2 linked regions of the Stegostoma tigrinum genome follow. The protein of the gene in region 2 binds, or shares a complex with, the protein of the main gene of each other region. Links are inferred from orthologs where the notes say so. Each region holds a gene or a part of one and is shown on either strand. Other genes may lie near its edges.

Region 1 (16,050 bases), on a different chromosome or scaffold from region 2:
AGAGATACCTGCCACCTGGTGTTTTCCTTGAGATCAGATGTTAGCAGCCTCAAGTTTCTGTCTGCATCTGCTGTGCAAAACCTGTAACAATTAAAAAGCAAATTAAAACAAGGAAATTGAAAAAGACAGCATTATTTATTTAAAAGCAAAATACTGTGGATGTTGGAAATATGGAGAAACTCCGCGGGTCTGGCACTGAGGAGAGAAACAGTTACCGTTTCAAGTTCAGTATGACTCTTTTTTGATTTGAAAGGGATTCAAGGTTTTTTTTATACGTTTGACAGAGGTGGGGAAAGTGGGAAGGGAATGGATGGTGTAAAAGCCTAGCACACAAGACAGATAGGTCATTAATTGTGGAGAAACAGCGAAAAAGATGTAAAATGGGTAAATAAAATGGGTTTAAATTCAGGCGTGATTGTGAGAGAATAGGTAAAATAAACAAGACAAGGCTTTGGGGGTTGCGGGGAAAACACAGGATAAATCGACATTCCGCATTTGATCTTGCCAATGTAAAGGTGATCACATTGTGAGAGGCCAATATATCTGAATTCTTAAAATAAAGACCAAATTTACTCTTTTCATTGCAAACTATGACACATGCACAGGTCAGAAGTCCCTAGGTTCAAGATGCACCCAAGAGATGTCAGCATGTGGGCAAGGTAGGTTCAGACAAGGCCAGAATACTTTAAGATGCTTGAGTAGAAGTAGACCATTCAGCCCATCAAGTCTGCTCCACAATTCAACGAGATCATGGCTGATCTGATAATCCTCAACTCCACTTTCCTGCCATTTTCCCATAACCCTTGACTCCCTTACTGATTAAAATCTGTCTCAGCCTTCAATGGACTTAATGGCCCAGCTTCGAAAAGCCCTTCGCAGTAAAGAATTTCATAGATTCACTATCCTCTGAGAGAAGAGATTTGTCCTCATCTGTCTTAAATGGGCAATTGCTTACTTTGACATTATGACCTCCTGTCCTAGACTCTCCCAAAAGGAGAAACAACCGTTCACATCTACCCTGTCAAGATCCCTCAGAATCTTATATGCTTCAACAAGGTTGCCTCTCATTATTCTAAACTCCAATGAGCACACATCCAATCTACTCAACCTCCCTTCATCAGACAGCCCCTCCAAACCTGGGATCAACCGAGTGAACATTCTCTGGACTGCCCGCGTTGCCAGTATATTTCCATGGGCAAGGGGCCTAAAACAGTTCACAGTATTCCAGTTATCACCTGAACAGGTCCTTTTCTTCTTTTAGCAAGGCTTTCCTATTTCTATGCTGTCCGTAATACCTGCTGAACTTAGACACTAACCTTTTGTGATTCATGGATGACGACTCCCAAAATCCTCAGTGCTGCAGCTTTCTGCAGTATTTGTACATTTAAATAATGATCAGTTCCTCTTTTCTTTCTGCCAAAGTATTCTTTATACACACCATGAGGGCAGGTGGGATTTCAGTTTGACATTTCATCCAAAGTCAACACCTCCAACACTGCTGCACTCCCTCAGTACTGCACAAGAGACGCCAGCCTAAGTCTCAAATCTCTGAAGTGGGACTGGGATACACAACATTCTGACTCAGAAACACATATGCAGCCACTAAGCCCTGGCCAATACACAAAGGATAATAAACCAACATGGTAGGTGAAAGTGTCTCTTAATTGGTAGTACAAATTCTAACTACACTTATCTTTGTTAATTGTGAAAAACAAACTGAAAAATCTTAAAAGTGCTTCTAATTTATAAGCTGAAAATAACGAATACATTCTAGTCTACAGCATTTTGTTTAACTTGTTGCTAACTGACATCAGCCGGCATTAACATAGCAACAAATGAGCACACTACTTATTGCACTAAATGTAATTTAAACCAATGCAATAAATACATTTTTCCAGAAGAAGGGTCCTGACCCGAAACATCAATTTTCCTGCTCCGCTAATGTTGCCTGGCCTCCACGGTGTTATTAATAAATAGTATGATACTTCTATCTATCAGTGAGGTAGTGTTTACATTCCAGAGACTTGTCATCCACAAGGTCAGAGGTAATAGCCTTAAGAATTGAAATCCCACCTTTGCAATTCTAATTTAGTTTAACCAAAATCTACAAAGTAAGATGTTGGTACTGGGAAAAGTAACCTTGACACAATGTTGGATTGTCATAAAAACCTATCAGGGCCTTTAGGTAATTAAATCTTCTATTTTTCCCCGGTGTGGACCTATTCCAGATCCACAACAAGATAGCTGGCTCTGGACTAGCCTCTGCAGTGGCCCGGACAGCCACTTAGTTGTGTTGAAACTGCTGCAAAGAATCACCGCACACACTGAATCAGGTCAAAAAGTGACAGATCCACCACCACCTTCTCAAAGACAAACAATGCCAGCCTTGCCAGCAACACCAAATTGCTAAAATGAATCAGAAAGTAACAGTATCTCCTACTGGATCAGTTGTGTCAGTGTGTCCATCTTAGTTTCTGGGCTCCACGCAATAGAATCCACCCGTATTCCTCGATGAAATGTCTGAAGTGTCTTGAATTCCATACCTTTAATTTCCGCATCTTCTTCCTAAAAAAGATTAGAATGGAATATTCATAATACTCACAAGCTGATACAGTCCCGAGTTGAGAGTGTCCTAGCCTATTAGTCAAAAGGTATTGGGTTCAGATGTTACCCTTGAACTGGGCCATTTCAAGGACAGCTAAGAGTTGACCATATCGCTGTGGGCCTGAAGTCACATGTAGGCCAGATCAGGTAAGGACCATAGATTTCCCTCCCTCAAGGACATGCGTGAATCAAATGGAGTTTTACCATATTAGACAATAGTTACATGGTCACCAATACTGAGATTAGTTTACAACCCAGATTTTATTAACAGAACTTAATTTCCACGACTACTGTGGCAGGATTTGAACCTGTGTCCCCAGAGCACGAACCTCAGCCCCTAGGTTACTAATCCAGTAACAACTTTGAAATATTCAGCCCATTAAGCCTACTCCACTGTTCAGTGAGGTCAAGACTGATTATTTATCTTCACAGCTTTCTCTTGTACTATTCCGATTTCCCTTGAAGTCATGAGTAGACATTGATAACCCTCTCGCTACTAATGTCTGCCTTCTTGGCAATGAAAGATCCCAAACTATTATTTTGAAGAAGTGAGCTAGGAGATTTCCCTGATGGGCACATTACTTTCTCAAGCAATACAATTTATAGTGAACAAATACAAACTATGCAATTACTGCCTCAGTATGGTTCGCAGGATCATCATATGCGCAAATTGGCTCTTACAGTTCTTATTTCACAAATATAGCCATAGATATCAAAAAAAGGGAGACAGTGGCATCATAGTAATGTCGTTTCTGTCCTTTAGGGAAGGAGGTCTGCAGCACTGGCCTGGCTTGGACACCGTGTGACTCTGTATCCATACAGTCAAAAAGACCTTTCAACCCATTGTGTCTGTTCCAGTCACCAAACGACCATCTATTCTAATTCAATTTTCCAATAGTTTAGCTTGTATGCTATGGTGTTTCAAGTGCTCATCTAGATACTTTTTAAATGCCTTGAGGGCTCCCATCTCCACCAGCCTTTTAGGTAGTGAGTTCACAGCATCCATCTCCCTGTGGGTCAAAATGATCTCCTGAAATCTTCTTCCACATCTCTTTCTAAACCTCCTGCTCCCTACATAGAACATATGTAGGGCCTTCGGCCCTCGATGTTGTGCTGACCTGTGAAACGAAGCTGAAGCCCATCTAACCTACACTATTCCATTATCATCCGTATGTTTATCCAATGACCATTTAAATGCCCTTAAACTTGGTGAGTCTACTACTGTTGCAGGCAGGGCATTCCACACCCTTACTACTCTCTGAGTAAAGAACCTACCTCTGACATCTGTCCAATATCTATCACCCCTCAACTTAAAGCTAAGTCCCCTTGTGCTAGCCATCACCATCCAAGGAAAAAGGTTTTCACTGTCCACCCTATCTAATCCTCTGATCATCTTGTATGTCTCTGTTAAGTCACCTCTTAACCTTCTTCTCTCTAACGAAATCAGCCTCAAGTCTGTCAGCCTTTCCTCATAACACCTTCCCTCCATACCAGGCAACATCCTGGTAAATCTCCTCTGCACCCTTTCCAATGCTTCCACATCCTTCCTATAATGCGGTGACCAGAACTGTATGCAATACTCCAAGTGCGGCTGCACCAGAGTTTTGTACAGCTGCAACATGACCTCACGGCTCCAAAACTCAATCCCGCTATCAATAAAATCCAACACACCGCACGCCTTCTTAACAACCCTATCAACCTGGGTGGCAACTTTCAGGGATCTATGTACATAGACACCGAGATCTCTCTGCTCATCCACGCTACCAAGAATCTTACCATTAGCCCAGTACCCCGTAGTCCTGTTACTCCTTCCAGAGTGAATCACCTCACACTTGTCTGCATTAAACTCCATTTGCTACCTCTCAGCCCATCTCTGCAGCTTATCTATGTCCCTCTGTAACCTGCAACATCCTTCTACACTATCCACAACTCCACTGACTTTAGTGTCATCTGCAAATTTACTAATCCATTCTTCTACGTCCTCATCCAGGTCATTTATAAAAATGACAAACAGCAGTGGCCCCAAAACAGATCCTTGCAGTACACCACTAGTAACTGAACTCCAGGATGAACATTTCCCATCAACCATCACCCTCCGTCTTCTTCCAACAAGCCAATTTTTGATCCAAACCACTAAATCACACTCAATCCCATGCCTCCGTATTTTATGCAATAGTCTACCGTGGGGAACCTTATCAAATGCTTTAATAAAATCCATATACACCACATCAACCGCTTTACCCTCATCCACCTGTTTGGTCACCTTCTCAAAGAACTCAATAAGGTTTGTGAGGCATTACCTACCCTTCACAAAACTGTGTTGACTATCCCTAATCAAATTATTCTTTTCTAGATGATTATAAATCTTATCTCTTATAATCCTCTCCAACACTTTACCCACAACCGAAGTAAGGCTCACTGGTCTGTAATTACCAGGATTGTCCCTCCTTCCCTTCTTGAACAAGGGGCCAACATTTGCTATCCTCCAGTCTTCTGGCACTATTCCTGAAGGTAATGACAACATCAAGATCAAAGCCAAGGGCTCTGCAACCTCCTCCCTAGCTTCCCATAGAATCCTAGGATACATCCCATCCAGCCCAGCGGACTTATCTATTTTCACACATTCCAGAATTGCTAACACCTCCTCCTTGTGAACCTCAATGCCATCTAGTCTAATAGCCTGTATCTCAGTATTCTCCTCCCTGTCTTAAAACTGTGAGCCCTGGTAATTGATGCTTCTATTAAAGGGAACTATTTCCACTTATCTACCCTGTCTAAGCCTCCTTAAGTAACCTCAATCAGGTTACCCCCAGCCTTCTCTGCTCTAAGGAAAACAACTTCAGCCTATCCAAAACAAAAACCAAAAGAACTGCGGATGCTGTAAATCAGGAACAAAAATAAAGTTGCTGAAAAAGCTCAGCGGGTCTGGCAACACAAGTGGAGAAGAAAACAGAGTTAACATTTCGGGTCCAGTGATCCTTCCTCAGAATTGATAGTGGCTGGGAAAATGTCAGTTTATATGCAAAAAATAGGGAGGTGGGTGGGGTAGGGAGTAAACGATATGATAGAGCCCAAAGAGATAGAAAGACAGTGGGACAGACAAGAAGTTGCTAACAATCAGGCTGGGAGGGTGAATAGTTGTAAATGGGCACTGTTAGTGATTAACAACAGGGGGTGTGTAATGGCAGGCTATGTGGTAACAAGGCCTGGTGTGTGGGTGAGGGCTGGGACATGGGAGAGTTTAGGCCCTAAAATTATTCAACTCAATATCGAGCCCAGAGGACTGTAGGGTCCCCAAGCGGAAAATGAGGTGTTGTTCCTCCAGCTTGCACTGGGCTTCACTAGAACAATGTAGCAAGCAGAGACGGAGACATAGACCAGGGAGCAGGATGGTGCATTGAACTGGCAGGCATCAGGTAGTTCAGGGTCTTTTTTGCAGGCAGGTTCTAGATGTTCTGCAAAGCGGTCGCCAAGTCTACACTTTGTTTCCCCAATGTAGAGGAGACCACATTGTGAGCAGCCAGTGCAGTAGACTAGATTCTGGGAAGTGCAGGTGAAGTGTTGCATCACCTGGAAGGTATGTTTGGGCCCCTGGATACTGGGGAGGGAGGAGGTTAATATGCAGGTGTTGAACCTTGGCCAGTTACAGGGGAAGGTGCCGTGGCAGTGTGGGGAGGTGTTGGGAGTGAAGCTAGTGTGAATGAGGGAATCCCAGAGGGAATGGTCCCTGCGGAAGGCTGACAAGGGAGGGGAGGGGAATATGTGTTTGGAGGTGGCAGAAATGGCGTCTGATGATCTGGATGTGGATGCTGGTGGGGTGATCAGTGAGGATTTGGGGAACCCTATCGCTGTTGCGGGAGGGAACAGAAGGGGTGAGGCGGAAGTGCGGGAGATGGGTGAGACCCAATTGAGGGCCCTGTCGACAACGGAGCTGGGGAATCCTCGGGCGAGGAAGAATGTGGACATTTCAGAGGCTCCCTTGTGAAAGTGCGCCTCATCTGAACATATGCGACAGAGACGGAAGAACTGAGGCTCCCTTGTGAAAGTTCACCTCATCTGAACATATGCGACGGAGATGGAGGAACTGATTTCTAGAGGACCGAGGATTCCCCAGCTCCATTGTCGACAGGGCCCTCAGTCGAGTCTGACCTATCTCCGCACTTCTGTCCTCACCCCTTCTGTTCCCCCTCGCAACAGCGATAGGGTTCCCCTTATCCTCACCTACCATCCCACCAGCATCCACATCCAGAAGATCATCAGATGCCATTTCTGCCACCTCCAGCCAGGTGCCACCACCAGAAGCATATTCCCCTCCCCTCCCCTCCCTTGACCGCCTTCTGCAGGGACCATTCCCTCTTGGGACACCCTGATTCACACGTCCTTCACCCCCAACACCTCTCCACACTTCCAAGGCACCTTCCCCTGTCACCAGCGAAGGTGCAACACTTACCCGTTTACCTCCTCCCTCCCCAGTATCCAAGGGCCCAAACATACCTTTTGGGTGAAGTAACACTTCACCTGCACTTCCAAGAATCGAGTCTACTGCACTCACTGCTCACAATGTGGTCTCCTCTCCCCAGTGTGGGGAAATGAAGCGCAGACTTGGCGACCGCTTTGTAGAACATCTATGTTCTGCTCGCAAAAAAGACCCTGAAGTTGCCTGCCACTTCAATGCACCATCCTGCTCTCTGGCCAACATCTCTGTCTCCGGCTTGCTACAGTGTTTCAGTGAAGCCCAGCTCATGCTGGAGGAACAACACCTCATTTTCTGCTTGGGGACCCTACAGCTCTCCAGACTCAATATTGATTGAATAATTTTAGGGCCTAAACTCCCCCATGTCCCAACCCCCCCACCCCACACACCAGGCCTTGTTACCACATAGCCTGCCATTACACACCCCCTGTTGTTAGTCACTAACAATCCCCATTAGCAACTATTCACCCACCCAGCCTGATCGTCAGCAACTCCTTTGTCTGTCCAACTGTCTTCCTCTCTCTTTGGGGTCTATCTTATCGGTTACTCCCTACCCCACCTACCTCCCCATTTTCTGCAAATAAACTGACATTTTCCCAGCCACCATCAGTTCTCAGGAAGGATCATCGGACCCAAAACGTTTTCTCCTCCACAGATGCTGCCAGACCCGGTGAGCTTTTCCAGCAACTTTGTTTTTGTTCAGCCTGATTTTATAGCTGAATCCTTCCAGCCCAGGCAAATCTTGGTGAATACCCTCTACACCCTCTCTAGTGCAAGCACATCTTTCCTATAAGGTGGTGCACACAGTACTCCAGCTGTGGCCTGATCTTACGTACAGCACCATCATAATCTCCCTGTTGTTGTATTCAATGCTTTGACTAATAAAGGCAAGCATAGAAATGTGGTTGGCTCTTAACTGCCCTCTGTAAGCCACCCAGTTCCAGGGAGGACCAATAAATCCAGAAAATCCCGGAAATGAAAATAAACCCATTCATTGCTTGTAAGGTGCCTAGGGAGTACTGCACCCACGCTATGTTTTGATCAGCTCAATTGTTGTTCGGTGGCCCTTGCTCTGCATACAGCATCACAAAACTCAGTTGAAGGTAAAAACCCCAAAGAACTGTGGATGCTGGAAATCAGAAACTGATGGAGGGGGAAAAAACACTCAGCAGATCTGGCAGCATCTGTGGAGAACGCAGAATTAACGTTTCTCGTTCACTGGCCCATCTTCAGAATTGATTTTAAGCTAGGAAAAGGTTTATAAAAATGCTGAAGATAGGGTGGGGGTAGAAGTAAACGATACGTGGAGAGGGAACCCAGGCAGAGAGAAAAAAACATACTTGGGCAGACAAATGAATACAGGTCGGCCTCGAAAAATCAACAGCTAAACAAGAAAAAAGATTAGAATGGAAATCCTGTGGGAGAGAGGAGCAGATCTTCTTCAAGATGAGCATACCTCAAAGAGATGTTTCAGTGCAGCTTTGTTTCTGTGGCACTAGATGGGTTCCGACCTACTTCTCTTCCTTATCCCTTCCTCACCACCTCCCTGTCCCCAAAACAGTCACACGTTCCCAGAAAAGAACCTGCCAGGACAGCCCACCTGAAAGCGGCAGCTCCCCACCACGATGTAGTTGTCGCCTCCGTAGGCGACCAGGCTGCCAGTGCCGCAGTCCTCGAAAGGGTTAAACTCCACCACGTGCACTGTCTCGTCGGTTGGCACCGTGTGCGTGGCGCCCCGCGATGCCGCCTCGTTCACCATCATCGTCGTCTCCGCTTTCCAGTCCCGGAACCCGGGGAGATTGGAGGGAATCCCCGATGGAAAGCTCAGACTCGCCAGGAAAACCCTCAATGGAACGTTCAGACACAACCCCTCGTCGCTGATTGGCTGCCTCCGCTTCGCTTCCGGGAGGAAAGTGCAACATTGTAACGGCAACGCTCTGATTGGTTACAGCTGCTCCGGCCCGGGACTTTTAAATTGGCCTGGAGTTGGGTGTGGGTGAAAAGTCCGTGTGGGATCTATCTTTACCCTTAAGTTGGGAAGAGAGGGATGTAGAGTGAGGCGTTGTGTTAGTGCTGACTTCAGGCAGGGCTGGTTGGTGAGTGAGACAGAGCCAGTGAGAGCTTGGGCACTGTCGTTGGAGATTGGGAGCTGGTCTGCGCAAGTGACAGTTGGTGAGTACAAGAACTGAGGAGTCGCTCGCTTTCAACGGCGAGCCTCAAATTGCCTGAACCATGCTATTGAGCTGGAGACAATAGCAAAATGCTCGCGTTTGCCTCCTTATTACGAGAATTCCAGTGTATTGAACCGAGAACTTGTCTGCCTATATATGCTGAATGAAGTATTTTTAAACACTACTGATACTGACGGGTGTTTTTTTTTGTGTCTCGCGGGAAAGGTATTGGTTAGTGCATAACATGAAGGTTTTTTCTATTCACTTGTGGAATGTGGGCACTGCTGGCCAGCATTTCTTGCCCATCCCTAGTTGCCCTTTGAGAAGGTGGGGGTGATTTTTGCCTTCTTGAACTGCTGGGGGCATTTAAGAGTTAAGAGTCAACCACACTTCTATGCTTGCCTTTTAGTCAAAGCATTGAATACAACAGGGGGTTGACCCTCTGGGAGGGCATTCCAGCATTTTTGACCTAGTGACAAAGAAGGAACAATGATATTTCCAAGTCAGGCTGGTGAGTGACTTAGTGGTGGTGTTCATATAGAAACTTTGTTCAGTGTGCAAACAGGCCCTTTTGGCCCAACAAATCCCCACCCACACTCTCAGCATCCCACTCATTCTTCCTATAACCCACATCCCTGAACACTATATGTGCTATTTAGTGTGGCCAATCCACCTAGCCTGCAACACTTTGGATAGTGGGAGGAAACTGGAGTGCATGGAAACCCATGCAAACATGGGGGGGAAAAATGTGTCAACTCAACACACTGCCTGAGAGTGGAATTGAACTAGGCCCTTGGTGCTCTGAGGCAGCAGTGCTAACCTCTGAGCCACCATGCTGCCCTGAGTCATAGTCAAATTTATATAAAATAGAAATAGACCCATCAGTCCAACTTGTACATTCTGTCCAAATATCCTAAACCTAGTCCTGTTTGTCAGCATTTGACCCAGGCCCATGTATCTGATGCCCTTGCCCTTCTGGGTGGAAGTGGTTGTGGATTTAGAATGTACTGTCTGAGGTTATATGGTTACTTTCTCAGGCTGTTTGTAATAACCTGGAGAAGTTTTAATGGAATAAATTCAGTCTTGGGTGGGTTTTAATTGGGGGTGGGGAGAAAAACTGTTGCTGACCCTTTAGTTATTGGTTGCCATTAAGTTCTGAACTCCAAATCCATCTAGGAACCTGATGGAGGACCCTGACCCAAGAAGTTGACTTTCTTGCTCCTCTGCTTGACTTGCTGTGTTCCTACAGCCTGAAACTGTGTAAGCTTTGAGTCCACCTGATTTGTTTTCTCCCCCCCCCCCCCCCCACCCCCCCAAGCTAGTGACATGGCCTCTTATGTATGATATATCTCCTTACACAACCCTGGACACTTAGGTGGATTGGCCATGCCAAATTACCCCAACTGTATACATAGAACAGTACAGCACAGAACAGGCCCTTCAGCCCACAATGTTGTGCTGACCAGTGATCCTCATGTATGCACTCTCAAATTTCTGTGACCATATACATGTCCAGCAGTCTCTTAAATGACCCCAATGACCTTGCTTCCACAACTGCTGGCAACGCATTCCATGCTCTCTCAACTCTCTGCGTAAAGAACCTGCCTCTGACATCCCCTCTATACTTTCCACCAACCAGCTTAAAACTATGACCCTTCGTGCTAGCCATTTCTGCCCTGGGAAATAGTCTCTGGCTATCAACTCTATCTATGCCTCTCATTATCTTGTATACCTCAATTAGGTCCCCTCTCCTCCTCCTCTTCTCCAATGAAAAGAGACCAAGCTCAGTCAACCCCTCTTCATAAGATAAGCCCTCCAGTCCAGGCAGCATCCTGGTAAACCTCCTCTGAACCCTCTCCAAAGCATCCACATCTTTCCTATAATAGGGTACCCAGAACTGGACGCAGTATTCCAAGTGCGGTCTAACCAAAGTTTTATAGAGCTGCAACAAGATCTCACGACTCTTAAACTCAATCCCCCTGTTAATGAAAGCCAAAACACCATATGCTTTCTTAACAACCCTGTCCACTTGGGTGGCCATTTTAAGGGATCTATGTATCTGCACACCAAGATCCCTCTGTTCCTCCACGCTGCCAAGAATCCTATCCTTAATCCTGTACTCAGCTTTCAAATTCGACCTTCCAAAATGCATCACCTCGCATTTATCCAGGTTGAACTCCATCTGCCACCTCTCAGCCCATCTCTGCATCCTGTCAATGTCCCGCTGCAGCCTACAACCGCCCTCTACACTGTCAATGACACCTCCGACCTTTGTCGTCTGCAAACTTGCTGACCCATCCTTCAATCCCCTCGTCCAAGTCAGTAATAAAAATTACAAACAGTAGAGGCCCAAGGACAGAGCCCTGTGGAACTCCACTCACCACTGACTTCCAGGCAGAATATTTTCCTTCTACTATCACTCGCTGTCTTCTGTTGGCCAGCCAATTCTGTATCCAGGCAGCTAAGTTCCCCTGTATCCCATTCCTCCTGACCTTCTGAATGAGCCTACCATGGGGAACCTTATCAAATGCCTTACTGAAGTCCATATACACCACATCCACAGCTTGACCCTCATCAACTTTTCTAGTCACATCCTCCAAAAACTGTAAGGCATGACCTACCCCTCTCAAAGCCGTGTTGACTGTACTTGATCAAGCCATGCTCTTCCAGATGGTCATAAGTCTTATCCCTCAGAATCCTTTCTAACACCTTGCAGACGACAGACGTGAGACTTACCGGTCTATAATTGCCGGGGATTTCCCTATTTCCTTTCTTGAAGAGAGGAATTACATTTGCCTCTCTCCAGTCCTCAGGTACGACTCCCGTGGAGAGCGAGGATGCAAAGATCTTCGCAAGTGGCGAAGCAATTGCATTTCTCGCTTCCCAAAGCAGCCGAGGAGAAATCTGATCCGGGCCTAGCGACTTGTCAATCTTAATGTTTGACAAAATTTTCAGCACATCAGCTTCGTCTATCTCTATCCATTCCAGCATGCACGCCTGCTCTTCAAAGGTTTCATTCACTACCTTTTGGGCTATGGGAGGAAACCTGCACAGACACAGGGACAATGTACAAACTCCATACAGAGAGTCACCTGAGGCTAGAATTGAACCTGGGACCCTGGCACAGTTAGCAGCTGTGCTGCTCAAAAGAGGGCACTGATACTTTTAGCTTAGTACAAGCTCTCTGTTTATCAATTTAGTGCCACTCTTCCTGCTCCCAGTCACTGAAAATGACTAGTCAGTGGCTGGGCCAGCCCTTCAGAACTACTTCAAGCACTGAGATGCTGCCTTAGAGCTGTGGTTACGCATGCTGTGGATATCTAGAATTTTGACCCAGCCATGCAGAATGGAGGGTGATAATAGAAGGTGGCATGTAGTTTGAAGTAGAACACAAGGGATTAGATGCCTGATGACTGGCTGGAAGACAATCCCATGATGTAAAATTCTGATTTACAGGCAAGGGTTTCCCCAAGCATCTGTTGCTGATGTTCTAAATAGTTGAGGTCATGAGTTTTGGAGAGTGTAGCAGGGCCTTGTTGATTTGCTACTGTGGGTTGGTGCTGGTATATAATCTAAACTTTTTTGAAAGCTATTGAATCTACTTCAATCCTGCTCTATTTTGTGGATAAGTCACTTTAGTGACCAAATTACAAAATTGATAAAATGTCTCCAGGAATGGTGTATATGGAAATGGTTAGATTTAATTTTTTTTAATAAAATGCAAAAGGGTGGAGACTGGGACTAGACATCTGGCCAGGCATTCTGCTGTCCTTTAATCACTCCAAGGGATGGATTGAAGTAGCACTGGCCTTTATAGTTTCCCATTTATCCAAACTCTGCCAAATCATATGCCATTTCCCTTGGACATGCTTTAAACTGGTCTCATACTGCATAGTGACAATAAGATATAGTTGCAGAATTAGGCCATTCAGTCCATTGCATCTGCTCTGCCTTTGATCCTAACTTGTGTTTCTCAGTCCCAATCTCCTGCCTTCTCCCTGTAACCATTGACCACCTTACTAATCAAGATCTTGGCTTAAAGGCACCTGATAATTTGGCCTCCAGTCTTCTGCGGGAATGAGTTTCATGAGTTGCTACCTCCAGGCTGAAGGAACTCCTCCTCATCTCAGTTCTAAAGGGTTGGCCCTTTGCTCTGAAACTGTCCCTGAGGTCCTAGTCTCTACTCTTGGAAATGTCTACTCTATTCAGACCTCTCTATATTCTACAAGGTTCAGTGACATTCCCATGCAGGATCCTAGAGGTAATTTCCTAAACTTCTCTGGAAGTGCCATAATGTTAAGATTTGTAACTCTGGTTGAGGCTCTGGATGTGAGTTTGCTCACTGAGCTGGAAGGTAAGTTTTCAGATGTTTTGTTACCCAGAATGGTGACATCAGTGCTGGTGTTATGTCCCACTTTCTATTTATCTGTTTAGGTTTCCTTGGGTTGGTGATGTCATTTCCTGTTTTATCCCAAGAGGATGGTAGATTGACTTGGAGCCAATGTGTTTGTTGATGGAGTTCTGGTTGGAATGCCATCCTTCTAGGAATTCTCATGTGTCTGTTTGGCTTGTCCTAGGATGGATGTGTAGTCCCATTTTCTTGGTCCCTCCAGAAAGCGGACAAGGGTGGTGATGGAAAAATGGGACAACACATCCATCCTAGGACAAGCCAAACAGACATGCACGAGAATTCCTAGAAGCATGACATTCCAACCAGAGCTCCATCAACAAACACATTGATTTGGAGCCAATCTACCATCCTCTTGGGGATAAAACAGGAAATGACATCACCAACCCAAGGAAACCTAAACAGATAAATAGTGGGACATAACACCAGTGCTTCATTGGAGGCTCACTGTTACCTAGAATGGTGACAAAACATCTGAAAACTAGCCTTCCAGCTCAGTGAGCAAACTCACATCCAGTGCTATAATGACATTGACTGACTGCTGTGGTTCAAGGAGGGTCGCCAGGAATGTTTTGCTGTGATCTCTAGTGTTATATAAATGCTGCAGCATTTATGAGCTGACTCTCTGGTAGGAAAATAGGTTCCTAGTGCCAAACTTGGCTCAGTTCTTTAACTTCAATGTCTTTTGTCCCTTTGTTCACTTAATATGGCATTGACAGGATGATTTGATGAAAGCTGACTGAGAAGAGGATGGAATTGTCCTATAATTGACCATGCTGGATAGCAGAGATTAACTAAAACACTGTTCGTTTGCAGGATCTGGCCATCAGAGTATTCGAGTGGTCATAAATTCACTTTGGACTGCAATCATTTCAGAGTGCACAAATAGTCAATCGCATTGCTTTTGGTCTGGAGTCACATAGGTTGGATTAAGGATACCAGGCTTCCTTCTCTAAGAACATTAGTGACTCAGATGGGAGTCTAGAAATCTATTAGTCAATGAGAATAGCATTTTAAAAATGCATCCTTTTATCAATAAAGATACTAATTAAAAGTAGTAGGACAGTAGCCCACACCCCACATTGAATTAATTAAATTGGCAGTATTATTTGGCTGTGTTGGAATCTGAACTCTCATCTCATCTCTGGATCATGAATTGTGACATCTTGGTTTCTAGCTTGATATCCTATGCACTACAGATTCAACAAATGTTCTGAAGGGATGCACAAACCAAAAGGACAACTAGCAGTGTAAGACTTAGTGGATTGCCCTTTCAAAATTGCCAGGCAATGCATGATGCTCAATAGTCTCCTCCCTCTATGCTGTAGTCTCATTCCATATGATCAAGTTTTTATTAGAATTAACTTCTGGCAAATGTCACACTTGCTTTGCAGAACTCTTTCCCTGTTTGCATTTTGTTGGTTTACTATCCAACTAGGTTTGACACCATGGGATGTCTGCCAGCAATGTACAGTATTACAAGGCTGGAATTTAACTTGAACTTTCTGCAAGGGTTGCATTAATTCCTATTATGTCTGTGGCTTCAGACTAATCGACTGTGACCAATGCAACTGGAGTTAAGCTAGTGTTGTGTAATAGTGTTTTTTACTTTATGCTGAAGAAAAGGAGAATTTAACTGATCTTGTGTGCATCAGTTACTTAATATCTTCAGCTTACACTTATGTAGCATTTTAATGCAGTTATTGTTTCCTTTTTGCCCATGTCTAATAAGTCATGTGCGGCTTTCCCACTAGTTAAGCGCAGATTCTGGCTCTTTTCATTGGTTGTTCTAAAGTCTCTTGTTAAAGAATTTGTACAGTAAGAACTAAATGTTCTGAGTAAAATACTCCTCCAACAAACTCCTGTGATATGCCTGTCACGACTCTGACCACAAAACCCACTACTGACTTTTGGTAAAACATCTACATTTAATTGGCTTTGGAAAAGCCAATGTCCAATCCTTACCCAGCCTGGCCTACATGTGGCTGACTCAGAACTGCCTCTGGGGAAGGTAGGGATGGATAATAAGTACTGATCTGGTGAGCAATTCCCCCAAATCATGAGAGTTTAAGATGTTCTGGAGCTTATTTTTAATTCAGTGTCCATAAATGCTTGTATAATTATCATGGTGTTTGTTCACTCAGAGACATGGATTCCCTCCAACAGAAAGTATTACAGTTGATAAGGAGATTCCGGAAAGGATGGTGCCAGCTTCTGGAGCATGAAAGAACTACTGTCTGTGGTGCTGATAATATGCTTATGGTTTTGCAGCTTGCTATGGCTGAAATGAATAAAGAGGTGAGTTGACATCATCAGTAGACTAGAATGAGAATAGAGGAGGCCATTCAACCCCCTCCATCAATGAGGCTTTGCTTGATCTGGGTCTGGAATGC
Region 2 (16,140 bases):
TTCCCAAACCAGACTCAAGAAGATATACACCAATCTACAGAGCAAAAAAAAAGTTTGTAAGTCACAATTAAAGTAAACAAATTGACAATAAAATTCAAATATATGTGCCTCGGTTAGTAGCACACTGGTCTCTACGTCACAAAGTTCTAGGGTCAAGTTCCACTCCAGGGCTTGAAAATCCTCTACAAAAACATCATGGCTGAAAGTCCAGCACAGTACAAAGGAAACACTGCAATATCTTTCAAATGAGATAGTAAACTGCACCTTCTCCTCGCTCGGTGGAAAATATCCTATGGCATTATTTTGGAGATGAATAGAGTTATCATCTCCAGTCTCTTGGCCAACATTTATCCTTCAAGTAACATCCCAAAAAAATGAATTCTAGTCATTATTACATCACTGTTTGGGAGTTTACTGTCCGTAGACTGGGTGCCATGTTTCTAATATTACAACAGTGACTACACTGCAAAATGTGCTGGATTGACTGGGAAACACTTTGGGGTGGCTGGTAGCAGTGAACAGCAGAGAAAGCGTGTGAGGAAGCTAAGAAGTAAATTGTAGACCTAGTTGTGACCAGTCAAATAGATGGATTGAGCAGGATTCTGCGTTATGATTGTGCAAATTCTAATATTAAAACAAAGATCGTATTTTACATAGTTCCTTCGGGGATAATATAATTCAGACAAATCGTCATTCCCAAAGAGTGATGAGAATGTCGAACTGGCTACCACAGGAGCAGTTCATAATAGCACACGGGCATTTAAAGGAGTCTAGTTAAGTACATAGAAAGGAGGTCTTCTGACACAATGGATAATATTGTTGCCTTCAAGCCAGAAGTTCCATATTCAGGTCCCACACAGAATTTGGTGGCCAAGGATTCCCTTGCGATAGCCAAACAGGTTCAGATTCAACCAGCAAATCCTTCCAAAACACACTGTGGCAGTTGATAACAGCAGGAAAGATTTCTGGTCAGCCACATGTTGCAAAGAAAATTGAAGCCTCCATCATCACTATCCATAAACTACAGTATCCTTGTAAAAATGCATATTGCCACAGCAAATCAGACTCCAACATCTACCGAACAATAGCACCAGACCAGGTGAGTAGAGGAGAAAGGGGCAGAATGATATGTGAATGGAATTAGAATTAACAAATTTGGGTGAAGGTTCACATAATACATAAGCATCAGCTTCGCTTTCTAGAGGCAGTGTATCAGTTCCAGTTGTAAAACATCGCAAGACATTACACAGGAACATTAATACATGAAGATTTATTATGACAGGTACAGAAAGGCTGAGTCAAAGAGGGAGATTTTGAGGAAAGGTGGATAGGTGGAAAGCCTCAGGGAGGCTGAAGACTGGTGGAACTATGAAAACTGGATATGTACAAGAGGCTAGAATTAGAGAGTGCAGAGAGGTCGGGGAGTTGGAAGAGTTTATAAGAGATAGGCTGTGGCAAGGCAATGGAGAGATTTGAAAACACTAAAAATTTAAAAATGAACGTGGTGCCAAACTGAAAGCTAAATGTAAGTCAGTGAGCAAAGGGATAACAGAGGATTGTAAGTTTGGTGTGAATTAGAGCAAAGGCAGCAAGGTTTTGCTTCAGAATAAATGCATATCAAACCTGGCACGGATAGTTGTATGTGCGGGGCTACACTTTATTGTTAATTAGACACACCACTAATTCTGTACTGTTGATATTAGAAACATTATAAATTGCTCCATCAGTTTCCAGAGATTTCTACGTAATACTTCGTCACTGAATAGGTTTACTCCTTGAAATCCTATTTTCATCAAAGGAGCATAGTTGCTTATTTGCGAGGGCATACTTCCTGCTGTTGGCTGATGCTGTAATTGATGATGGTGACGATGATAGAAGAAACCAATCAGTAGGGGTTCTGTAGAAGTTTTAACATATCTCACTTTTGAATGTTTCAAAAGATGACTGAGGTGGCTCAACGATCTGATTTTACACAAAATTAACAGAGATTAAGAAATCAATACTTTATGAATGACTTAAAATAGTTGGCAGAACCAATATATTCAAAATGTTGCCTATCTAATTGCCTGATACAATAATGAAATTTACATTTTTTCCCAATGCAGTTGGCCATCAGTGGGAATAATGCAATGTAAGTTAACCAGTTTGTACATCCAAAGAGAAACAAGAGTGTCTCTCATCAACATCTGACTTTTGAGCTTTAAATTTGGTTCACCATCATTTTCTGTATTAATTTTTTGTTTGGATGTGTAAAGATTATATTTTGTTTTGGAATACAGGTAAGAGTAAATGGAAGTTCACACACCACTTTGCTAAAGACAATGTAAAAGGTGTGTTTCTCAGGGTTGTTTGTTTGCAACTTGAAGACCCAAATTAGAATTATGTGGTGTTCGTTTATTAATTACAGAAGGTCATGTAACCTTTGGAGGAGCTAGGTTTGATATTTTTGAGAAACAAGCTAGCACAGGTGCCTTTAGTTTAAAAAGCAATGCACTAACAGCTTTTGGATTTTTTAAGTTGCAGCCAGTCATGGACTTGAAAATGACAGCTGCACTCAGGCCTCTAGAAAGCCTGCAAGCAAATACAGGTCTCTCCCTTTCTCACCCTGTGCAAGGAAAAAGAAACACTTGAAGATTTGGAAAAGAAAAGCTCCCAACTCAAGCAAAGACCTAAGTTCAACTGACCTGCAAATGAATTACGGACCTCTTATCATTCTGTGGTAAACAACAGCATTATATCACTGCCAAAAATCAAAGTAACTGTCAAAGTGTCACTTCATTCCACTTGTGATCTGGATTCTTGACACAGATAAGTAGTTCCTTTTTGTCTATGTTTTCTGTGGACGATACTTCTGCTTTGACTTTCCTAGTTATGACTGGATGTGTGTGAGCTTGGGTTTAAAGTGGTTATAGTTTAAGTTTGCACAGAATTAAGTAATAAAAAAAATTTGCTTTCTTGTTTATTGATGTAATCCAGCGCCAGTTCTTTTAATTTAGGTAACAGTCAAAGTAGACAATGAACCATTTTAGTAACTAAACGGGGCACATATATAGCTTGTGGAGTAGTGAGGTTTGACTATCAGTAACTTTTCTTATCAGGATCATGACAGATGCTTTTTCAAGATGAGGACATTGAGCAAAACAGACGTCACTGAGGGGAAAAAAAGATTGTCCTCCTACCATTTCAAAAATTCCTGCCACAGTCTTTAGTGGTGCTCGCTGAGTGATGGTACCTGAAAATCGCAAACAGGAAGGGGAGGTTGTGTGTGTGTGTGTGTGTGTGTGTGTGTGTGTGTGTGGGGGGGGGGGGGGGGTAAAGATTTAACCAATTAGGTAGAAGACTATTGATCAAGACAAAGAACATTTTATTCAAACAGTTAAATACCTTCAGTGTTTGACAGTCTTCAATTGTGTTTTGGAACAATCCAATTACATTCTTTTTCTGAAGCCATGTTAGGTCCTCCAGCATCTTAAAAGTGAGTGAAGTTCTTACACAGCTTATGAATTCTTCGTTGTCATCCCTTTCAGAATCATCACATTTCCTCTTGATTGAGACTTGCAGCTGATCATCAGCACTGGTCTTCATCAAGCCTATGCTGAGAAACCACAGTTCCTCTGGAAATGCTTGCCGTGTTGCAAGTTGGACTGTAAACCTGTGCAGCAGTGCTCGCCACTCTTCACCCAAGTGGCCAGGGGAGACAGAAAGACTGATCTGGGTGGTGGTACTTAATGGCAAAAGATGACTTTCTCCATCCTCGACCTGAGTCACAGCTGAGATATTAAATGGCTCATCCTGTTTCAAACTGCTAGGCTGGAGAAGGGTTGTCTCTCTGTATCCTGGGAGACCTGAGCTCAAGGCTAAGGGATTATTACAGTCATTTGATCGATCAAGTGCATGGAGATCCTTCAAGTCATCACACATATTCCAGCTCAGCTTTTTTTTTGTTTCTTCGTCTACTCGCACCGGGGCTGCACGCTTCCTTCTGTTGCTCATTGTACCAGCTTAGTGCAAGTTCACAGCTGCAAACAAAAAAGTATAAAAATATGAAATTCTCCTAGTAAAAAAGGATGAATGAAGCATTTATTGCTCTGAACAGTCAGTTAGGAATGCAACACAAGACGAGGACGTTCATTTTGTTATTGAGCTATTCAACTAAATCAGCATGGATTTGTATCTCAATCCAACCTTGATTCTGTAACCCTTAAAATCCCCACTCATTTATCATTCTCAATTTTGAAATTTTCTACTGAAAACTGCTTTTATATTGGGGATGATAGAGGAGAGATGTCCAGATTTTCACCACTCTTCATGTGAAGAAGTGATTCCTGATTTCACTGTGATCTCCTAAGGTTTCTCTGGTCCTCCCCATTACTAATCTATTGCCTTTCAGATAATAATCTGTCTTCCTGTTTTTGACCTCACATTTATTCACCTGCCATGTATTTGTCATTTTTTTTACTGCCAAATGTGCATATTTAGATTGTATCTTACATTTAACAATTTAGTTCAGTCGTAGCCTTTTGTAAAACTTAATTAATTCACAAACATTTAGTTGGAAATGGTTTAAAGCTAAGCAAATGGAAAATATATATGTATATCGTGGAAACAAACAAATGAGAAACAGAGTACATTATGACTGTCAGAAAAAGCAACTGGTCCAGATCAATCATAACATTTATATAAAAGACACAAATTAACGAAGCATCACAGCTCATGCATTTCTTCCAAAAATAAATCAAAACATTGAGCAAATTATATGAAATATAAATTAGAGAAACAGGTTATTTGGCCCAACCAGTCTTTGACAATTTTTGTGCTTCACATAAGCCCCACCCCCCAGCCACCTTCACATAACCCAATCAGTAGATCCTTCTATTTCTTTCAGTCCTCTGTGCTCATCGTACTCCCTCCAGAATGGATTCATGTTACACTTTTGACTTGGTCAATTAGTGAAGTTGGTTGATCTGTATCTTAATTCCATCCATTGACCTTGGTCAATAATCCTTCATAACCATGACTATCAAAAATCTTTGAATTTCAGATTTATAGCCATTGATTGAACTAACATGTATTGTTATGGTATGGTCCACCACCCTATGCATGAATAAATGTTTCCTAATTTCAGGTCTGAATTGACTGTATCTAATTTTATGACCACATCCTCTCATCCTACCACTCAAAACATTTCCTCTCTATCCTAGCAATTGCTTTCTAAACCCTAAAACCCTCAGTCAAATCACTCATAACCTTCTATGTTCAAGATAGTACAAGACCAACTTAAGTAATCCTCCTCGATAATGTAGTCCTTGAAGCCAAGGTATTATTCTGGTGAATATTCTGCATTGCACACCTTTCTAGGCCACTGAAGGTGTGCTGTCGAGAACTGTATGCGGTACTTATATGTGATCTAGATCAGGGCTTTGCATAGCTGTAGCAAAATCACCTTTGTATTCCAGCTCTGATAATTTATTGTTCCTGATGATGACATTTTAACTATCTTTATATATGGACCCCACATCACTTTCAACTTCCATTGTTCCTAGCTTTTCACTATTAAAATAATACTCAGTGATCCTGTTGTGGGTAGTCTCATATCTTACCTCATTAGGGGAGATAATGGTATAGTTTATCGTGGCTGCATTAATAATTCAGAGACAATGCAAATGTTCTATGTATTCGGTGCCAAATCCCACTACAGCAGATGACGGAATTTGAATTAAATCAAAAAATCTGCAATTACAAGTCTAACAATGTGCAAGTCAGTTGGATTGGCTATGCTAAATTTTCCAGAAGATTCCACAACCAACGATCAGATCTCAGCTGTCCGTTCCTGACACATTCAGTCATGAATGGTGGTGGACAATTAAACATCTCACCGGAGGAAGCAGCTCCACAAATTTCCTTATCTTCCATAATACCAGACTTCAGCACGCTAGTGCAAAAGATAAGGCTGAAGTATCTGCATCAATCTTCAGCCAGAGATGCTGACTGGATGATCCATCTTCAGCTCCTCCAAAGGTTACCACTGTAACAAATGTCAGTCTTCAGCTAAGTAGATTCACTTCATAGGACATCAAGAAACAGCTGGAGGTACTGCAAAGGCTATGGGCCGTGACAACATTTCGGCAGCAGTACTGAAGATTTGTGCTCCAGAGCTGGCTGCGCCTGTTGCCAAGCTGTTTCAGTACAGCTACAACACTGGCATCTACCTGACTGTGCAGAAAATTGAACAAGTGTGTTGCACAATTCATCATTCTGCTGATTCAAATTCTCTCTTCCTTTAAAAACTAAACATTGAACCAATCAGTCCAAATGAACAACATGGATAAGACACCAAGGAGGATTTAGTACTCAAAATAAACATTTGAATCAAAAACCATTTTAATCCCAAGTATTTTAGAGATTAAACAATCATAAGTTTAAACTTTCTCTATCTTATCATGTTAAATAGTTCTTAGTAAGTTATGTAACAATAACACCTTCATTAGTTCCAACATATCTAAATTGAAACAGATTTGTTCTCCAACATATTAGAAATTAGTTGGAAAAAAAATCAAAGAAACTCATACGTCCTGTTAGATGGCAGGAAGAGGTACAGTCTATCAACTGCCCTGAGAGAATTACATTGATGAATATGAGAAAACCATGGTCACTAAATGTATTCATCAATTTTCTTCTGTTAAAAGTTAAAGCCGCAGAAGAGAAAGCATTATGTTAAATTCAAGCCAGGGATCCGGCTTCGATTTCAGCCTCGGGCGACTGTCTGGGCGGAGTTTGCACATTCTCCCAGTGTCTGCGTGGGTTTCCTCCGGGTGCTCCGGTTTCCTCCCACAGTCCAAAGATCTGCAGGCTAGGTGGATTGGCCATGCTAAATTGCCTGTAGCGTTCAGGGGTATGTGGGTTATAGGGGGATGGGTCTGGGTGGGATGCTGCAAGGGGCGGTGTGGACTTGTTGGGCGAAGGGCCTGTTTCCACACTGTAGGGAATCTCATCTAAACAAGTGCAAGATTTTTGGAAGCAATTTTTTCTAAAGGAAAACAAAAATCACCATTTTAGATTAGAAACATTGGCCGGATAATTATTTCTGAAGCACACATGGGAGCTGCACACAGTGACCCTGCAGACACACCAACACATTCTGGTCAGATTTTCTGAGGAGCAGAAGTACACATAATTTGCCACTCTGCGCCTTCTTTTTAAACAGAACAAAAAAGCTCTGTATTCCTGACAGGAGACTCTGACCATGGCTCCTTCATTAACGTGGTGTTGTACTTTTACTCTGGCAGGTCCATATCTTGCAGGCTGTGGGGTGAAAGTAAACTGTGACTCCTTTTTCATAGCATCAGCAATCATCACAGACAGCCACTTTTAAAAAGCTCCGGAGAGACGGTAAGTACATAAGTGTGAGGTTAGGGTGCCTCCTCCAGTGCCACAATGATGCCAACCAAAGGTTGCAGGAACAGCCACCTCATATTTCGCTTGGGAAACCTGCAGCCCAATGGTATCAATGTGGACTTCACAAGCTTCAAAATCTCCCCTCGCCTGACCGCATCCCAACAACAGCCCAGCTCGTCTCCGCCTCCCTCACCTGTCTGTCCTTTCTCCCACCTACCGACTCCTCCCACCTTAACCCACACCCCCACCTCCACCTCCTAGACCTGTCCGTCTTCCCTTGACTGACCAATCCCCACCGTAACTCCCCAGCTACACTCACCTTTACCGGCTCCACCCCCCACCTCCTTGACCCGTCCGACATAACAAGGTGTAGAGCTGGATGCACACAGCAGGCCAAGCAGCATCAAAGGAGCTGGAAAGCTGACGTTTCGGGCCTAGATCCATATTCAGAAATGAAGGCCTAGGCCCGAATGGGGGTATATCGGTCTAGGCCCGAAACGTCAGCTTTCCTGCTCCTCTGATGCTGCTTGGCCTGCTGTATTCATCCAGCTCTACACCCTGTTGTCTCAATGTTTCACAAGATACGCGATCAGGGACAGACAATCAGCTTTTCCGGGTGATACTGACTGACGAATGAATACCAGGCCGGGGCGAATCGCCCTGTTCTTTGCGCAAATAGAACGGTAGGGTTTTATATGAAAGGGCAGACAGTGCCCTCAGTTTGAGACATCCGCTCCCTGATACCAATCGTGGATTTTATAATCACTCTAACGCTGATAATCGATGCTACTCACAGTTAAACCCCAGAGCCTGAAGTTTCCAAATAAATAATAAACGGTTCAGAAACAATAAACAGGGCCGGAAGAGCTGGACGGCTGACCCCCGGATGTTGATGATATTTTCCAGGAAGTTGTCTGTGTTAACTCGGAAGTTGCCGGCCCGCGGTCGTGGCTTTCCCCGTTGACATGGAGGCTCGCTATGTTTCACAGAAGATCAGCCGGGTCCGCTGGCTCCCGGTATCCGGCTCCAGTCTGCAGCTTCCTGAATGCTTCGCCACCGGATCCTGGGATGCTGAGGTGAGCAGAGCAGCAGCCGAGGGAAGGACAAATACGTTAGCATGGTCATCCGGGAGAGAAGGAGAGGGGAACAGAATTGGACCGAGGGCGGTGGGTGTAGGGACCCCCCAAGAGAAAAGACAGAAGTCCGCCGGCAGCAGTCAACCTGGATAAAAGGCATGCGGCATCCTCTTCTTTATAAATACACGAAATGTTTTTAAAAAGATCAAAAGAATGGAAACCAAGCTAGTTTTAAAAGAGAGGAGAAAGCTGTGGTTCGCAGCAATTAATTAGACTGGCAAAAAAAAATCGAAGTGGTGCTCCCCATCCTGGGATATCAATATTGCAAATAGTTTGAAGTAGGAGTTGAAAATACTGTACACTTTAAAATCCTGCACGTGACACCAAACTTGGCAGTGGAGAAGTGAGGGTAAATGACAAAATACAGAACTTCAATAAGAATACTAATATAAGCTGCAAGTGAAGTACAGTCGTGGACAATTACTTGCTAACAAGTATGCTGATCAACCAAGGACATTCTGTGGTCATTAATCATGTGTTCTGTGGGTATTTGCGTGGCTGAGCCCGATTCTCGACCAACATTTCTGACCACATATTTGCTAGGTGTTTACTGAAGGTGGAAGTGGTCCTTGGCCTTCTGATCATTGGCATTTCTCAGGTTCCTTTTCCATACCCCCTTTTTCTGATGGGTGTTCTCAAAGAATTGTGACTCTTCATAGAATTAGTGTGGATATAGGCCATCTGGCCCAACAAGTCCACAGCCACTCTCCAAAGAGCATCCCATCCAGTCCCATCCCCCTCCCTTTTCCTGTAACCCTGCATTTCCCATGACTAATCCACCTAATTGACACACTTGTGGACACTCTGGGTAATTAAGCACAGCCAATCCACCTTACCTGCACATCTTACACTGTGGCAGGAAGCCTAAACATACGCAGACACAGGGAGAGTGTGCAAACTCCATATAGGCAGTCACGTGAGGGTGGAATCAAACCTGGCACTGTGAGGCAACAGTGCTAACCACAGAGCCACCATGCCATCCACAGGCTTTCGACAGGAGTTTCCATCAAGTCAGTTTCTTCTGAATGAGGGTTTCCTATGTGTTCACATCTATCTTGCCATTCTTGATGTAAGCTTTCAGGAGACTTTAAAACACATCCTATGTCCTCCTTTTGCTCGAGTGCCTCCTTTGAGCTGGGTGAAGATTTGTTTTGACAGTCAGAACTCAAACATCCTAAGCATACGGCCAGCCCACCAGAATTGATTCTGGATGAAGCCTTGAAGCTGTTGTATTATACGTTTCAAGGAATGCTAATGTTAGTACACCTACCATCCTGAATCATAAGGAGAATCCATCTCAAACAATGTGGATGGTACTTCTCAAGGATCTTAAGGTGGCATTTATGTATAATCCAAGTTTCAGAGCTATGTAGAAGAGTCTGAAGAATGATTACCTTATACACAAGGATTTTGGCATCAGCACGGATGTTACAAACATTGAATACTCTCATCATTAGTTGTCCAAAAGCAGCACTCGTAGATTGAATGTGATGTTGCATCTCTGCATTGGTATCAGCCATTGATGAGAGGTAGCTTCACAAATAAAGGAAATGTTTAGTAGTTTGGAGGATTTCTTCATTAATCTTCATAGAGGGATGGACTGAACTTGACCAAGGAGAGCTTGGTAAAACTTTGAGCCTTCAAGGTTGAAACTAATTCTTCAGGTACTTCCTTGAAGACATTAAGCATGGTTTGAAGATTCTGTTCTGAGATAGTGGAGATGACATTGCCATTTGTATACTAATATTCAATAAGTAATATCCATGTCATTTTCTTCTTGGATTTCAACTGATTAAGGTTGAAGAGTTTTCCATCCATCTTGGAGACAATGTTCACATTAATAGGAAGTTTGTTCTTGAAGAAACTGAAGAATTCTGGTGATGAAGATGGAGAAAAGGGCAGTGGTGATGATATATCCCTGCTTGACCCCTGAGATGACCTCAAAAGATTCTGTCATATTCCTGACGGAGGCTCATCACTACTATCTTATGCTAGAGATGGAGGATGTTGATGAATTTCACTGGACAGTCAGCCTTTGCAAGGGTCTTCCATAACACTTCCCAACTGACTGAGTCAAAAGTCTTGATCAGATTGATGAAATCCACGTAGAGTGGTTGGTGGTTTCTTGGAGTTCCGAGCAGTGAAAATCATGATGACAGTTCCACACTTCTGTCAGAAAACGCACTGCTTTCCAGAACAGTTTCCTCTGAGTCTGGGAGAAGGCAGTTAATAAGGATTCAGGTGATGATCTTCCTGGTGATGGAATGAGGGGAGATTTCTCAGTAGTTCCCAAGACCATTTTGTCTCCTTTCTTGAGGACAGTGGCGATGGCAGCATCCCTGAAATTGGCAGGGATCTCTTCTTTGTCCAGATTTTCAGAAACAGTTGATGGAGATGACAGGTAAGCTTTGCTCCTCCAACTTTGAAAATCTCCACTAGAATCCCATCTATTCCTGTTTCTTCACCTTCATCTGTTTCTAGTGTCATTTGATGGACATTGGGGAGGGGAGGAGTCAGTGGTCTGTCCATCAATTGTCTGCACTAGGTCATCACTTTGGTAATCTTTTTGGTCTCTGGGCTGAGCAATGACATAATTAATTATGTGCCAGTGCATTGATTATGGATGCCTCCAAGAATTCTTGAATTTATCTTTTCGGAGCAAGAAATGTATTGGTGATGTACATTTGCTGAGTGTGAATCCTTTCAGAGTTGCAATACCCGACTCCTTGTCCAGAGTTGTGTGTCTTTTCTGACTTGAGCATTCAAGTCCCCATGAGCAATAATTTTATCTTCCTCAGAGATGTTGATGACAAGGGTAGAATAGAAACCTTCTTTGGACTCATCTATAGCATCAAGGGTTGGAGCAGTGGCACTCGTGACCATTGTCTGCTGGTTCTTGGCAAATTGTAGATGCAGAGATATGATCATTGTTGCCAACAGGAAGCAAAAATAATCAGTTGATGATTTATTCTCGATTGCATGTGACATGGGTTGATCCTCAGAGTTTTCCTCTCCAAAGGAAGGGGTACCTCATCCTCCTTTGCTCAGCTCCCTTCAGGACTTCTGCAGAGCAGTGATATTAATGTTAAATTGCCAGAGTTTACAGCAATAGGGGAAGTTCTTTGTTGTAGATAATTGTTTCATTTGTTATCCATGAAGGTTCGTATATTCCAGGTTCTTCATGGTTTGATTTACAAACTGTGAGTAGATGAGCAGATGCAGATGAAGAAGTATTTTTCACCTGTGGTGGATTCCAAAACGAGAAGCCACTAATGTAAAATTGTCACTATTAAATCCAACAGTGTGTTCTAGGAAACATATTTACCCAGAGATATGTCTGAATGAAATTTACTATAGCAAGGAATGGTTGAGGTCACTAATGTAGATGCATTTAAGGATAGTTAAGGATAATCTCTTGAGAAAGAAAGGAATAGAAAGGTTGTGAGATTGGATGAAGAAGCATAGGAGGAGAATCATGTGAATCAAGCGGAGGCATCCAAGTGTTAGTCCGAATACTACCTTTCTGTTCTCTCCATACAATATAAATCATTGGACTGTCGTGTCGCAATCTGGATGCTGTACCTTAGGGAATGAATGAAGAGCTTGGAGTGGATACAGAGGAGATTTTCTAGACTGGTATCAAGGTTGAGAACCTTCATGTATGTAGAGAATTCACAGGAACTGGGATGTTCTTAGAGCAAAATGGATGACAGGGAGATTGAGTAGAGTTGTTCAAAATTATGCAACATTCTGATAAAGTACATAAGAGAAAGTGTTTCCAGTTATAGCATAGCTGGTAAATTGAGGACATGGTTTAAGATTTTTATCAAAGAAACAGAATGATAATGAGAGTTTGATTTTATGCAGGGCAGCATGTTCTGAAATGCACTGCCTGAAAAGTTGTGGCATAGATTTAACTTAGTAGTAACTTACCAAAGACAATTGAATTGATATTGAGAAAGGCAAAGTGTGCAAGGCTATGAGGAAAGAGCAGGAAGAGTGGGACCAGCTGGACAACACTTTCAAAGAACCAGCATTGTTATGATGGGCTGATTGGTGTCTTCCTCAGAATAAGATTCCATAATTCGTTATTTTGTTCTAATACATTCATCTCTTGCCTCACACTTGAAGTTTATTGAAATTTTTTATCGTTTCTACAGTTCAGTTCCACATTGCCAGTCCAGATTAAGCAGCTTGGCCCAAAATTGTTGAGGGTTGTTATTGACACAGGTCTTGTTTTTGTAATCTCTAAAGTGCAGGTTCTTGCTCTTTCTCCCATGCAGCAGAACAAAGTGTGCCTATGGGAAACAATTGATATTGAAAGCATTGATACAGATCAACTGTTCTTGGAGGACTCTAAGCCTTTGTGTTCAATCACCCACCAAGGTGACGTTATGGATCTACAGGTAACTGAAGTTTTGGCGTGGCTTTAAAAAGACTGCACAGCTCACCTCACTCATATTCCTTCTCCCACCCCCAAACAGATTCCATTTTAAATACTGCTACAATAATCTATTTGTAATTGGTATTTTTTTCTAAGTCACATGGTATATCCTGTGTGAAACTTTCTTTGAAGAAATTGTGTAGGTTTCGAGATGAATGTTCACACCTTTTGGACCACGAGTAAGTTCAAGCTGGCCCAGAACTATTAGCTTTAGTTTATTCTCAGAATCATAAAAATCCACAATACACAAGGAGGTCATTTGACCCATTATGTCTGTCCTGACTCTTCAAAGGAGAAATTGTGCTTCACCCAACATCACTGCATGTTTCCCTGTCATCTCAATAAGTTCCTCGTCGTCTGATCCCTGAACAACACCCTTTTGAAATTATTCATGAATCAGTGTCCACTGTGTTTTCAAGAAAATCCTTACAATTGAGTCCAAAACATTTCTCCTCATTGCCTCTCTAGATATCCGATTTTGAATTACACACCCGAGTTATTCGCCTACTCACTGGAGACATTTTTCTCTGCTTTGTCAAAATCTCTCATTGGTTTTATAAAAACACTTCCTTGGCCACCTAAACTTAGATGATACAAGTATAACAGTCTCAGTCTTTCCTCACAACCGAATTCCCCTGTTCTCTGCAACATTCTGGGAAAGCTTCATTGTACCAACCAGTGCTTCCACCCACCTTCCTTCCATCTCCCCACTCCAAATAAATCCTAGTAATGGAGTCTCTAAACACTTGACATAGTGGTTGCATAAAGACTTGTTTGCTTATGTTAAATATGACATAGGCAAATAATTTTGATTGTGAATAGTGATGTAGCTCTGCAAAGAGTTAAGTGTTGCCATAATTTCAGACCAAGCTACTGCACCCTCCATATCCACCAGAACAAGCTCTGCCCACAGCATTCAGCACAACTCTTGTGGGCACATCAGACCTGGACCTAGATAGTTTTTTGAAGCTGAATTCTTGGTGTAGGCCAGAAGGTCATCTCGAAAAACAATGAAGAGTCGTCCACACAATGTGAACTTTACGTGTGGCGAGGTTAGTGCGTTTAATTTTATGAAGAGCACTGGAGGATTAGCTGATAGCAAAGATGCCCAAATGACTGTCACCTACCTCCATACAGACGCTTCCAAATCTGTTGAATTGAATTTCAGATTCTAGTTAAATTAATAACTAACTTTCCTTTCTTAAAAGTCCAGAAAACTGTTCTTTATCATCATTCGTTTTTGTTTGATCCGCACAACAAGCTCTGTGATAAATCTGGGCCAGGACATTGCTGAAATTAAATTGCCAAAATGCAATACATGTAGAACAACTCTTTGAATTCCAGCAGTTAAAATTCATAAGGGTTGCTACAAGCAGTGAAACAGCAAGGCCAGGTGGAGACTAATGCTGCTTCAAATCCCACCACAAAAGGTAGGAGAATGTAAATTGAGTTAATTAATAAATTCTATTAATTAATAAATCTGGAGCTGAAACCTAATCTGAGTGATGCTATCCATGAAACTCTTAGCCATTGTCAGAAAAATCAGTAAGAAATCTGTTATCCTTATTCATCTGGCGTGTGTGTGACTCCAGACACGGCAATGTTATTGACTCTGAACTGCACTCTGAAATGGCTGTGCTACCCATTCAGTCGTATCAAACCACTGCAGAAAAGTCAAACCAGATTGACAGCAGATGTTAAAGAAGATGAATCATTTTGTCTTGGGATGGGCAACAACAACTGGCCTTTTCTACAAACACCGACATTCCATGAAAGACTATTTTTAAAATGTAGATTCACTGTTACAAATCAGAGGTATTTAAACTGTAGATACACTTGACCAGACATAAGGAATGCTCAATGTCTACAGAGTTTCAAAACACAGGATCTAACGATTACATGGGGTACATCTTAGATTATATATGTATGTTACATTTGTGTCTACATACAACTGCTGTCTACTGCACACTTTCTAGTTTTCTGTTGTAACATTTTTCTCTCATTATTTTCAATTTTCTTCCTTCATAAGTTCCTCCAAGTCCTAAATCAACTAGCAATAAGATTAATTATGACTTGCATTCTTTTATAGTTTCTGGATCAGGAAAAGATTATTACCGCTTCTTCTACAGGAAGTGTCATCTTATTCCGTTATGATCAAAAGGAACAGGTACAGAAATCATGTATAGAAATTTTTCATTAGTACTCAAAATGATTGCAAATTTAATGCAGTCAGAAAGTTTGTTCAATGTTCTCCTGTTCTACATCATTAAATGTCATGATATTGATTTTACCATGTTTTGTAGAATATAATCAATTGCTGAAATGAAAAAAAAGCCCATCCTTTACAGTTTCAAAATGGATGTAATTTATTCTTCAAAATGATGCATATTGGGTCTACTAGACCCTGTGGCTGGTGTCATTGGTGTAATTCATGCACTTACATTTTGTGTGTTTTCTGCACCATTCTCTGCCATAGAAACTCTCAATCCTCCAGGAATGGGAACGTGCCCACTACTATTCCCATGGCACTGCTCCCTGTACCAGTCTGGTCTGTAATGGTCCTGAGATCATCTCTGTCGGGGAGGATGGTCGGATTAACCATTTCAAAGCTGACCAAAAGGAACCTGTGCAGACTATAGGTTTGTATAAAGGAAATTTTTAAAAAATTTACACTCTTGATAAAGAGACCTTGAGTTTATATAATACCCTTCAGGAACTTCAAATGACCCAAAACACTGTACAGACCGTAAAATACTTTTGAAGTGTTGCTGTTACATTTTTGGAAGGATGTGGCGCTCAGATGTGTGTAGGTTGGCTGCTAAACAGCAACAAGATGAAGTTTCTCCCACCTCCTGGCAGGGTGGTCCGCAAGGGTGGCTAGGATGGGATGGTGGGTGCTTCGTAATGGGAAGGTGAATTTGACGCTTTGGAGGACTAGAGACACAAGGTAAGGACAGAGGCAGAGGAATTTGGAGTAGGAGGGTCCACGTTCTGAGGTGGATGGTATTATCTCTGCACAAAGATAGAGTCTGAGGTGGCTGTGGAGAGGTAGTGTAGGGGTGGATTCAGCAAGTGAGGAAATAAGCATTCAAATTTGCATTATTATGTTTTGTAGTTGAGTTTAATACTGTCCATAATGTTTTTTAGTTAACCATATGTGGCATG

What was found.
Region 1: nup43 (region 2) and nup37 share a complex: the UniProt entries of both Homo sapiens proteins name them as parts of the nup107-160 subcomplex of the nuclear pore complex. The link is inferred for Stegostoma tigrinum from reciprocal best matches to the Homo sapiens genes NUP43 and NUP37.

The regions. Positions count from the first base shown.
Region 1 is NC_081371.1:60,071,411-60,087,460, forward strand, and holds the start of nup37 (nucleoporin Nup37), read right to left. Parts: upstream 8,947-16,050; 5' UTR 8,841-8,946; coding exon 8,679-8,840; intron 2,566-8,678; coding exon 2,441-2,565; intron 82-2,440; coding exon 9-81; intron 1-8. Other genes in the region: parpbp (PCNA-interacting partner), read left to right, coding at 15,806-15,955. UniProt on the Homo sapiens protein: Component of the Nup107-160 subcomplex of the nuclear pore complex (NPC). The Nup107-160 subcomplex is required for the assembly of a functional NPC.
Region 2 is NC_081357.1:93,682,471-93,698,610, forward strand, and holds the start of nup43 (nucleoporin Nup43), read left to right. Parts: upstream 1-8,274; 5' UTR 8,275-8,360; coding exon 8,361-8,471; intron 8,472-12,814; coding exon 12,815-12,937; intron 12,938-15,064; coding exon 15,065-15,142; intron 15,143-15,451; coding exon 15,452-15,614; intron 15,615-16,140. Other genes in the region: E3 ubiquitin-protein ligase SHPRH, read right to left, coding at 1-34, 3,385-3,993. UniProt on the Homo sapiens protein: Component of the Nup107-160 subcomplex of the nuclear pore complex (NPC). The Nup107-160 subcomplex is required for the assembly of a functional NPC.